Tribolium castaneum: one gene and its partners. The main gene of each other region encodes a partner of the protein of the gene in region 3 in a complex. Links are inferred from orthologs where the notes say so. Each region holds a gene or a part of one and is shown on either strand. Other genes may lie near its edges.

Region 1 (2,946 bases), on a different chromosome or scaffold from region 3:
GTTGTGTGTTCGATGGATCTGAGCAGTTTTCAAGTGTTACAAGCCCCTCCGACTGTCTACTACATTCCAAATTTTGTAACACCTGAAGAGGAGGCCCACATTTTGAAAAATGTGTATTCAGTGCCCAAACCAAAGTGGACGTGTTTGTCCAAACGAAGACTGCAAGACTACGGGGGCGTGCCCCACGAGAAAGGCATGATTCCGGAAGCAATACCAAACTGGTTGACGAAATACATGGAAAAAGTCGCTCAATTGAACGTTTTTGAGGGAAACAAACCGAATCAAGTATTAATCAACGAATATCTTCCCGGCCAAGGCATAATGCCACACACTGATGGGCCACTGTTTTATCCCACTATTGCCACCATTTCGTGTGGCTCTCATACAGTATTAGAGTTTTTAGAAAATAACGAAAGTCGTGCTAAAGTTTGCCAATTACTTCTCGAAAGGTGTAGTCTAGTTGTAATTAAAGACGACATGTACGCTAAATACCTCCATTCCATTAGAGAAATTGAAACTGATGTTATTGATGAAGGCTGTGCAAATTTACTAAATTGTGAGAAACAATACGCCATTGGCGATAAAGTCAAAAGAGACACGAGAGTTTCTCTAACCATTAGAAATGTGACTAAGGTGCTTAAAATAAAACTATTCAAATAATTTTTGTACTTGCTTTTATTCGCCTAAAATAACATAGCTGATGACATGTAACCATGGTAACTGTCAGATTTTCTAACATAAATTAAGTAACCGTGGTAATTGTCACTTTTACCAACTTAAATTATTCAGACATGGGTTCAGGGCCTGTGCTGTCCGCCACATCCTCAAGTAGACTGTCGTTATGGCAATATTCGTTTGACTCCTCCAACATTGCTTGTAATTTGCTGGCGCTGGACACCAGCACGTGAAATTGTTTTCTCCTCATGTCCAGTTTCTGCTCCAGCAGCTCCTTTTCCTTGTGCAACTCTTTCAGTTCCGCTTGTAAGTTCGAAAGGCGTTCGTTTGTTTCCTTGCGTGCTGGCTGTTCGGCAATACTTTGTGCCAACAAATCGTACATCATGTGGTTTTGTTTCCATATTTTGGCTTGTACTAAGTTGTCTTTGTTTTGTTTGATTGAGTCTTTTACTTCGCTGATTTGCTGTTCAAATTTGTCGTAAATTTTTTTGTAGTTTTCAAGCTGACGCGATGTGGTTCTTGTGAGGAGTTGGGATCTCCTGACTGAGTATTCACAAAGGCTTAATTGTGCTAGTAGTTTGTCGTGGGTTGCTTGGTTCTCTAAGGGGGAGTCTTCGGTGGAATTTGCCCATTTTCGAAGAGTTTTTGCTATTACGTTGAGCCTGCGATCGTCGCCGGTTCCGTCACCGTCTATGAGTAACTTTCTTTTGATAATGTCCTCTAGAAGTTTTACTGTTTGGACACACTAGTAATTTTATAAGGGAAGTATTTACCATCCGACATGGTACCACGTTTGTCCTTTTGTTTCATTAAGGCGGATTTGTTTGCACTGTGGACGCCGAAAAATTTGTATTTTTTGAGGTTATGACACAAATTGTCAAATGTTGGCACTTGCCAACAGTTGCATCGAAAGTCTAAACCAAAAATTACTAGAAATAGCAATTAGAGGACATGTTGAGATAAGTGTTTTAATGGTTGCATATAACAAAAGCTTATAAAGCGTAAATCATTTAAAAATATGACTATAATTTATTTTATTAAATAATACGTATTTTGGTGATTTTGTCATCGGCTACGAATGTTTTCACTATTTTAAAACACGCTTTCCATAGCAACGTGTTTTAAATTTAAACAAAAACAAAAAATTTTGAATAATAATTTATGCAAAAACGCTTAAAGTTCTCAGGTGTCTAGGTGTCTCGCATACGCTCGTTGCATAACGACAGCCCTCGAACTTTAAGCTTCTAAAGTACCAACTTTAGTCCCGGAAATACAAAAAAGCAAATTTTTGTGTCGTTTTTTGCTCCTGTAAGCAATTTTTTGTGCATTTTTTTTGTCGCAACCTATTTGTTTTGAGTTGTTTTTGCTCCTGAAAGCTTTTTTTGTGCAATTTTTTGCTCCCGCAAGCTATTTTTTGGCCGTTTTTGTAAACACAATAATACCTCAAAAAATTCAACAAAAAATAAACTATGTATTAAAGATTTTTACATTTTAAGTGAATCTGCTCCAGTTTTTGCTACCACAAGTTATTTCTTGTGCTATTTTCTGTTTTCACAAAAAAGCAAAAAGTTTCTAATTTCAATTTTAATGATGTTTGTTATTTGGGTAATTTATTTATTATTATTTTGGATAGACATATTTCAAAATTTTTTATCGCTATTAGAGTATTTCATACGCGATGTGCATTTGACAAAAAACAGAAAGGTCTAGAAAGGTCATCACAATTTAAATTCAAAACAAAAAAATAAGATGAATTTTCGGTAAATCTTACAATAAACAGTCTAAATAGTTTTTACTTTTTAGACACGTAACTCGTAGTTTCATATTTAATTAAGCTTTAAAATATTGTTTTATTTATATTTTATCAATTATATCAAACTTGAAGCATTGCAAGATATTTAATATCTGGTTTCTATCGGTACAGGTACTAACGGAATGATCACCTGATGATTATATTTACTCTAGGTGATTTCACGTGTCTAATGAGAAAAAATTAATAAAGGGTAAAGTACACCAAAGTAAACATGACTGATAACGGTGTACTTTCCTTGTTTATTATTATTTTATTACTACTTGATTCATTATTTAAATCACATTTTTAATAAACGTGGATACTTTAGTTATCAATAAATTAAATCCCGTAATCATATTTTCAAAAATCCGTCGAAAATTATGATCTTAGCAGTTCAAAGTTCACTTTTTTCTTATTTTGTCGACGAATCTCCAATTACTCATCGGATTTAAACGATTCAGGAGAAGACCGCGTGTCCG
Region 2 (4,161 bases), on a different chromosome or scaffold from region 3:
GAGCCCTTAGCCCACACAATCAAACAAATCAGCGAAAAATACAATCAACTGAATGAAAAAACAAAATTGTCGGTATTTTGGGTATTCCCCTACTTTATGGAACCGCAAATACTAAACAGCCTCCCCGACTATTCCATGCTCGATTATAAAGTCGACTATGACAACCATCCTTTGTTTCAAGACGGCGCTAAGGCGCGGAAATTTGGGTCACCCGTCCGAATTTTCACGAACGTGGACCCGAGGTAAGCCGACGATTTTTACGAACTTTTCGGGACAAAAAATTGTAGTAAAATAGTCCTTCCGGCGAATGAAGGCTACAAATTTTGCCAAGAGTGCAACAAATGGGTTTCAAACGAAAACAAACACTGCCCCATTTGCCAGAAATGCACCTCGAAAGACGGCCGGACGTACACCCACTGTCCCATGTGTGCAAGGTGCGTTAAACCGAGTTGGCAGCACTGCGAAAAATGTGGTCGGTGCTGCCAACCGGACCACAAATGCGGCGACTTGGTCTTTACTCAGGTCAGTCTCAAACTCCCAATTCAAGGTTTAATAATTTTATTAAAGGATTGTTTCCACTGTAAACAACCGGGGCACAAAAAACGGGACTGTCCCAAGGTTGATCACAAACAATTACATATGAAACGCAAATTGAAAAGTAAAAATAGGGCGAAACGAGTTAAATACAGTTAGGAATCCATCGAATTGATTTCATTTCGGACAATTTCCGCCGCCTCCTCCATCTCCAACCCTTCCAAAATGTACAAGAAGTTGTCCAAAGTGGCATCTTCGTCGTCATCGAACCACAGTTGTAGCATATTACGGGCCTGGTCCACCTCTTTCTCATTTTCCATACTGAAGAACTGGATTTCGTCAGTTTTGAAGCCCAACTTGCTGGCTAGTTTTTTCCAATTGGGGGCCACTTTCTCGCTGAAGAGTTGCAACTGGTTCGGGTTTAATTTATGCTCGACTCGCGCGTTCTTATCGTCCATAAATTCCTCCGTTTCGGACGGTTTGATGTCTTCGGTGTTTTCATCAACTTGCGTGTCCTTAAACAAATTTTCTTCCTCGGCGTCGTTTTGTTGCGACTCTTGCGAATTTTCGGTCACGCGACCTGGCTTATCATGCGCTATTTTCTTGACCATCATCTCCAAATACGAAGACAGGGGGTTCATAATCACAGTACTGTAGGTGAAAAAGTGGGGGCTGCGCTTAGCCAAGAGTCTCAAAGCCCGCCACCCGTAATTCCCATCTTTCAGTAAATTGTCTTCGTCTTTGACTGCGCCAGGTGACTCGATTTGGGCGATGGCATCGGCGAAATAATCCTCAAGTGTGGGGAGAAAATCGCGCTCTCGGCCTTTACAAGCCTCCAAGTTATCGGGGCATAGGTTCCACAGTTTGGTCAGTTCGGTGCTTCCCATGTAGTATTTGCCCTCACTGGAGGCCTGTTTAATGATGTCGCCTAAGAGAGGGCGCTCTTCGGTTCGGCGCTTGTCGGGGCTTTCCGTGGGAACCACCGATTTTTTCAGTTCGGGACAACCGTCGTTCTTCCAAGCGTTCCAATACTCCTCCCGACTTAGAATATTTGAGGCGATTTCGGCAAATCGTTTACCGTCTGGAGGAGTCTCGCGTAACAAACTGTAGACTTTTTCGGTGCTTGATTGGATCCACTCTTTTTGGTCCGACTTTAACTCGAAACTTTCGCTAAAAAAATAAATTAAAGGTGCGTCTAGTTTAAAGAAACCGACTCACGATTTAAATTTTACGGATGATGAAAGGTACTGGAATAAAATTAAAAACTGCAACAGGACGGCGCGCCGAAAATTGACGTCGTACAGTTGCAAGTCGAGCAATTTTTGGCTCGTCAGGTACTTGGAAAAGTACATTTTATTTTTACTTTCGTCACAATAGCTCCCGTTATTTTCCACGTGTTCAAGCTTGAGGCCTTGGAACGTGTTAAAGACACTCGTGGCGTACTAAAAAAAATAATAAAAATCGGTTAAAATGCGCAAAAATAATTACGGTGCAAAACAGTTTCCATTGCACTTTAGTGTACAACTGGTTGGGGTTCCGGAAAAAATCCTGGAGCGACCAAAACTTGCAATAAAACGTGAAATCGATCACGTTTTTCTTTTCGTCGCCGTCAACGTCGCCCCCCTTTTCCTGGCTCGAGTCCGTGCCATACTCTGTCGTGTTTTCCAAATTAAATTCGCTCACAATATTCAAACCTGAACGTTCAGAAAACGGGAAAAACTTGGCCAAAAAGAGGAGAATTCGGCCGCAAAAAACGGTCGCCGTGGACCGAGATAACCGCCTCAATAAGTCGTTACACAACCTGAGTAAATTATTTTTGCAACAACTGAAAAACAAGTTCTCTTTCCACACTTCGACATTGTTCTCTACGTAGAGGAACATTTCCTGACAGGCGTCCAGCGTTAAGGCGTCAAAAATGTCCGAAAGGAGCATCACTGGCATTGTGGGGTTGCTCAGTTCCTTGCGACATGTTAGGACGCTAAAATCGACCAACTCGCGTAAGACTGAGACGTTGACTTCCTTTTCAAGGAGTTCGAGTAAGACGTCGCGGAACGCCTGGTCCAGAGGGGCCTTAAGGTCGATGGCGGACTTCGACAAGTGTTTGGCTTTAGTTTCGATCAAATCGGTGGTTTTGGTCTTGAAAGATTTGCGTAAAACGTCCTAAAAACCGGGTTAGAAGTGGCGTTTGAGGTTATGTCGGGGCCCACCTGGTATTCGACCCGTAACGACTCGAATTTGCCCCCCATTGCTTAAATGCAACGCTTGGAGGGCCCCCAACGTGAAAAACGCTCAATTTCGTGTGAAATACTTGAATAAGCGACCGGAATCGTCTTGTAAACAACTGTCAAAGGTCAAAAATAATGTTAGAGTCCGCGAAATGACAGATCGTCCACGGTGGTAGGAGTGCGCAGATACGAAAACTCGTCTCGGACGAGTCCAATCTTTAAATTAGGGGTGTTGGCAGAAAACAGTGGCGTGGCGTGTACTTACATGTGTAGGGAATTCGTCTTAAAGTTTAACATTTCAATATTACCAGTTATAGTAAAGATACCAGTAGAAACATTTTTTGCAATAAACGCGTTTTTACTCTTTACTCATTGTGTATTTTTATTTATTCGACCTCTCTGCTTTGTATTTCTAGGAAATCAACGTGTATTAGCATTAGATATGATTTTTACTATTTCATCTTGCAATTATTGAATAGAGGAAATTTTAACTACTACAAATTATGAATCTCAAACCCTTCTTGATCATAGAATGGTTTTTTGCTACGCCACTGCTCAATCTCCTCACTCGATGAAGTACGCATTGGCTCCGCCTATCGTGGTCGTTTACAGAGTTTCCGAGCTCTACCACTAATTTTCGCACTAAAATTTCACATTGCCAGTTTCTGTTTAAATATAAACATGCATTTTTATTTTTCCATTAACTGCATGCGAAACTTTTATAATTTTAGACGTTTATAGACAAATACATTTGTCATAATTAATTTTTCTAGATCAATACTGTTCTATTTTGAATAATTCTGTGTATGAATGTTTCTAAATTTGACGGATTTGGACAGTGAATGTTTCTGGTTATGACCTGTTTTAGACGTGTGATGACGTCACATCCGAGGTTAGGTGTGCGGCGCAGGCGGCGAGGGCGGTTCAGTCGACAGCGAGCAGTGGTACGGGTCAGATCGGGAGCGGGAGCGGGAGGCGAGGCGAAGCGAGGTGAGTCGGTTTATTTAAATTATTGTGTATTGTGCGGTTTCGTTCAATTTATTCAGTTTGTTACTTGCCGTTGTCGCGAACGGACGTGTGTTCAAGCAAATCTAAATTTTCCGGTTTAAATTTTCAATTCGGTGGCTAGTGATCGCGTTTGAGTGACACATTTTAAATACAGTAAATAAAATTATAATCAAACACTCAAATAATTAATTGCCACGTAATAATTTTGTCTTTAATTTCAATGAATGAAAGTGGCTTGCTCAAAATTTAATGCAAATAAACATTTTTTTGGTTTCAATATTATTATTATTTTTTTTTAATGCTACAAACGGTAGCCAACGTGGAAGCGATATGAAGGTAGGTGTATTTTATTGCTGTGTCGTATTTATTTATTTCTCAAACCAATAATTTCATA
Region 3 (3,172 bases):
GTGGCCAACTGACTTAAAACGCCATATCTTGATACATACGGGCGAAAGGCCCTTCAAATGCCAATGTTGTGATTCCACGTTTACCAGAAATTTTCTACTTAAAAAGCACCAAAGAAAGTGTCATGGGCCAGGTGATATTCCCGACTTGAAGCCGATCAAGTCCAGGAAGCAGGAGAAGAGTAAGATTAAGAGAGTTATGGCGGAGGATATGTAACAAGTATTCACTTCGTTCTTTATTTAAGACTTAAGATTTGCTCCAACTTTTTGTTATACCAAAGATATCTTCTTATGATTATTGTGATTTTTATGCTTGTATTTTAGTGTGTACCAATATCGTGTGCCTAATCCTAGTCAAACAGGGCCAAAATAGTACTTAATAGATATATAAATATTTATAATGACGTCGAATATTGTACAATTTTTTCATATTTTTATCAAATAAAGTGCCTCACAAAAATTCGTTTTTATTGAATAGGAATAAGGACGGATTAAAAGGTGGATTTACAATAAAATACCACATTACCATGTTTATTCTCATATTCTACAGATCACATCAGTAACGTACAATCCATGTGTAATACACTTAAAGTTACTAAAAATAAAATTAAATCGCCATCCGCAAAAATTATCATCTCCTTTTATTTTCGGCACTTCTTCTGGTAAACCTCATTAAGGAAAAATCTTTAAAACCACATGAAATGAAACAGTCGAAAGTAAAGAAATTTAATAATGAAATTTACAATGTAACAATGAGAAATGGGCTAAAATTGTCTATAAAAAGGATATTGTTTTTCCCTCATTTCGAGTCGGTCATCGTGCGACCTCTCTCGTGGATATGGTGACAAGTCCTGTGGTAAAAACATGAATAAAAAATTCTAGAAAAAATTAGTGATTACTCTCGAGCGATGATGTTTTTCTCTTTGGTGGACGGGTTCCATGATTTCTCCATTTTGGTGTGAAAGTTTCGCCGCTGTTGAAACGAAATTAAGTAATAATTAACACGAAGTAATAACTACCTTTTTCTTCTTCTCTTCGCCTCTTCATTTCAACTTGGAGCGCTTCTTCGGTCCGATCCTGTCGAATTTGAACAACATTAAAAAGTCTTTAAATTCGCTGTCGTTACCCTTTTCCTTCCCAACTTCCGTTCTTTCCTCAACTCTTTTTCCTCGTCGCTCAACTTTTCCCTCTTCTCTTTCGCTTTGCCCGACCTTTCTTTTTTGTCCGTTTTCTCTAACATGTAATCGAGTTGTTGTAGTTTCCTCTCTTCGTGTTTCGAACTCTGCAGACAACCAGGGGTACTGCATTAGACGTGCGGGTTGAGACAGTGTTGCACAATAGCAGCCTCCGCTGGCGCTTGCTTTGTACTAGCTGTCAACTCGACTTGCTTTTTGGCACAACACCAATTAAATCTCTATAGTTTTATAACAGGTAAGTGATGGTCATTAGCGTGCATCGGATTTTGCTTTTTCTTGAATTACATTCGTCTAAATAATTCCATCTTCCGCTGGCTCACAAAAAAGTCACGCAGTTTCAGGGCATTCGGATTTACTACAATAAATTAACTTATTTTCCCAACTACGACATCTTCCACATTCTCTTCGTTTCCTTAGCTCCTTCCAGCCGTCGAGCCATTTTAATTACAACAAATTTCGGTGAACGTCCTTCCATTTCTTGCCCTAACGTTTTAAATGGCACACACACGCGTTAGCGGTAAGTAATTAGGAAAAAAACATTAGTTTATTGCTAGCAATCAAATACCGAAACCTGTGACCCCTTCATGGTTGCAAATCAAGACGCGTAAAATATAAACTTAACAAATAGAAAGAAATAATCAAATATGTCCCATAATATCATGTAGTAATAGAACTATAAAACATCATAAACATCAGTATAAGAAATGAAATGAAAAATACGAAATAACAACTAGCGTAGTAGATATAAAAAACACATTACAAATTTTATTTATACGCACAAAGTCAAGAGATAGATAAATGTAAAATATTTGCTCAAAATAATTCCGCTCACATAACTATAAAATAAAAATAGTGAATAAAGACGAATTTTATCCACGAAAAGGCTTTTGAGTGGATAAAGTTTCTTCATTCACGTGTATTATACAATATTTTTTCCAATTCCTATTAATAAAATGCTCATTTAATACATAAAGAGTTATTTAATCCCAGTAAAATTTTTATTTCATTGTGAATACAAAGTAAATGGCAATTAGTCCTGAATCAAATTTTAATTCGCGAATATAAATCTTATTAAAAAAACAAGTTTCATCAAAGGAATGAATAAAAATAAATCAAAAGATTGAATAAATTATTTGTTCATTTTATTCGTCCTCTTGATTAAACTATTATTTCAATAATAAACTTTAACATAAAACAAGCATTTTATTAATCGAGCTTGGAAAAGGAAACTTTACCACAAAAGTTTTCTTAAAATAGAAAAGTGATTGATAAAAATTGTCATGTTTTTTATTTGTGTTTAGACCAGTCTGGGAAAAAGAATAACAAAAATAGCCGGGAAGTAACATTTGCAATTGTTTTTTTCAAATTATGTAGTTTCACAAGGGTGGAGAAACACATTCTATACATACTCGTAATAAGCAAATGGATATTTCTACACTGTAAGTTACACTCCTCTATACATAATAGAATATCATTTTATGCATTCGACACTTCAAAAAAACATGAAGTCGGATTTATTGGACCGTGTTATTGAATACTCATTAAGGAATGCAAAAAAAAGTTCCTTACAAACGCAACCAAGTTCTTTAATATTTTAACAAAAAGTTTCGTCTAACAACAACAATAAAGACATGCATTTATATCTTATGAAACAGAAAAAATAATCCATAACATCTAAAATAATTCGGCATGACAAAACCAAAACGGAAGCAATTTCAGTACAAATAAAATTATTTAAGGAATGTAATTCAATAAAAAGAGCTGCACGTCACCGGAGAAACTCCGTACTTAATCCGGAACCTACCTGTAACTGGCTCCCATCCCAAAATTATTAACAAAATGGAAGATTGGGCTGATTGCAGACTGTCCCTTACACAAGTGTCACTTTTTGCCACTTTTACATAAGTGAATCTTCATGCACCTTCGCTTGCGTCTTCTTCACAGCCGATTCCATTCCCGATCTTCATCAACGGACGAAT

The links.
Region 1: tho2 (region 3) and thoc7 share a complex: the UniProt entries of both Homo sapiens proteins name them as parts of the transcription/export (TREX) complex. The link is inferred for Tribolium castaneum from reciprocal best matches to the Homo sapiens genes THOC2 and THOC7.
Region 2: the proteins of tho2 (region 3) and Hpr1 are in contact, whole or in part, in a cryo-EM structure (PDB 7ZNL), measured with the Homo sapiens proteins. The link is inferred for Tribolium castaneum from reciprocal best matches to the Homo sapiens genes THOC2 and THOC1. Residues at the interface, in NP_001075019.1 of Homo sapiens: Leu155, Phe156, Tyr157, Lys158, Gln160, Asn163, Leu164, Leu165, Arg166, Asn169, Glu170, Ala173, Lys174, Ile176, Ala177, Gly180, Gln181, Asn195, Lys197, Ser198, Leu199, Ile200, Gly201, Cys202, Phe203, Asn204, Leu205, Pro207, Asn208, Arg209; in NP_005122.2 of Homo sapiens: Asn134, Arg138, Asn141, Leu144, Arg145, Lys149, Thr153, Cys156, Gly157, Gln160, Leu161, Ala164, Arg165, Phe167, Gln242, Phe245, Arg246, Tyr297, Ala299, Lys300, Phe301, Arg319, His320, Leu323, Gln324, Ile327, Tyr331, Arg373, Phe374, Lys376.

The regions. Positions count from the first base shown.
Region 1 is NC_087397.1:9,556,667-9,559,612, reverse strand, and holds thoc7 (THO complex subunit 7 homolog), read right to left. Parts: upstream 1,607-2,946; 5' UTR 1,486-1,606; coding exon 1,449-1,485; intron 1,396-1,448; coding exon 782-1,395; 3' UTR 661-781; downstream 1-660. Other genes in the region: alpha-ketoglutarate-dependent dioxygenase alkB homolog 6, read left to right, coding at 13-660. UniProt on the Homo sapiens protein: Component of the THO subcomplex of the TREX complex which is thought to couple mRNA transcription, processing and nuclear export, and which specifically associates with spliced mRNA and not with unspliced pre-mRNA.
Region 2 is NC_087399.1:4,612,780-4,616,940, forward strand, and holds Hpr1 (THO complex subunit 1), read right to left. Parts: upstream 2,883-4,161; 5' UTR 2,781-2,882; coding exon 2,742-2,780; intron 2,695-2,741; coding exon 2,023-2,694; intron 1,977-2,022; coding exon 1,753-1,976; intron 1,705-1,752; coding exon 690-1,704; coding exon of another isoform or gene 568-689; 3' UTR 542-567; downstream 1-541. Other genes in the region: rRNA N6-adenosine-methyltransferase ZCCHC4, read left to right, coding at 1-242, 288-522, 568-693. UniProt on the Homo sapiens protein: Component of the THO subcomplex of the TREX complex which is thought to couple mRNA transcription, processing and nuclear export, and which specifically associates with spliced mRNA and not with unspliced pre-mRNA.
Region 3 is NC_087402.1:8,538,630-8,541,801, forward strand, and holds the end of tho2 (THO complex subunit 2), read right to left. Parts: exon of another isoform or gene 2,998-3,172; intron 1,412-2,997; exon of another isoform or gene 1,280-1,411; coding exon 1,124-1,279; intron 1,075-1,123; coding exon 1,017-1,074; intron 971-1,016; coding exon 897-970; intron 849-896; coding exon 787-848; intron 660-786; coding exon 629-659; 3' UTR 513-628; downstream 1-512. Other genes in the region: zinc finger protein 264, read left to right, coding at 1-214. UniProt on the Homo sapiens protein: Component of the THO subcomplex of the TREX complex which is thought to couple mRNA transcription, processing and nuclear export, and which specifically associates with spliced mRNA and not with unspliced pre-mRNA.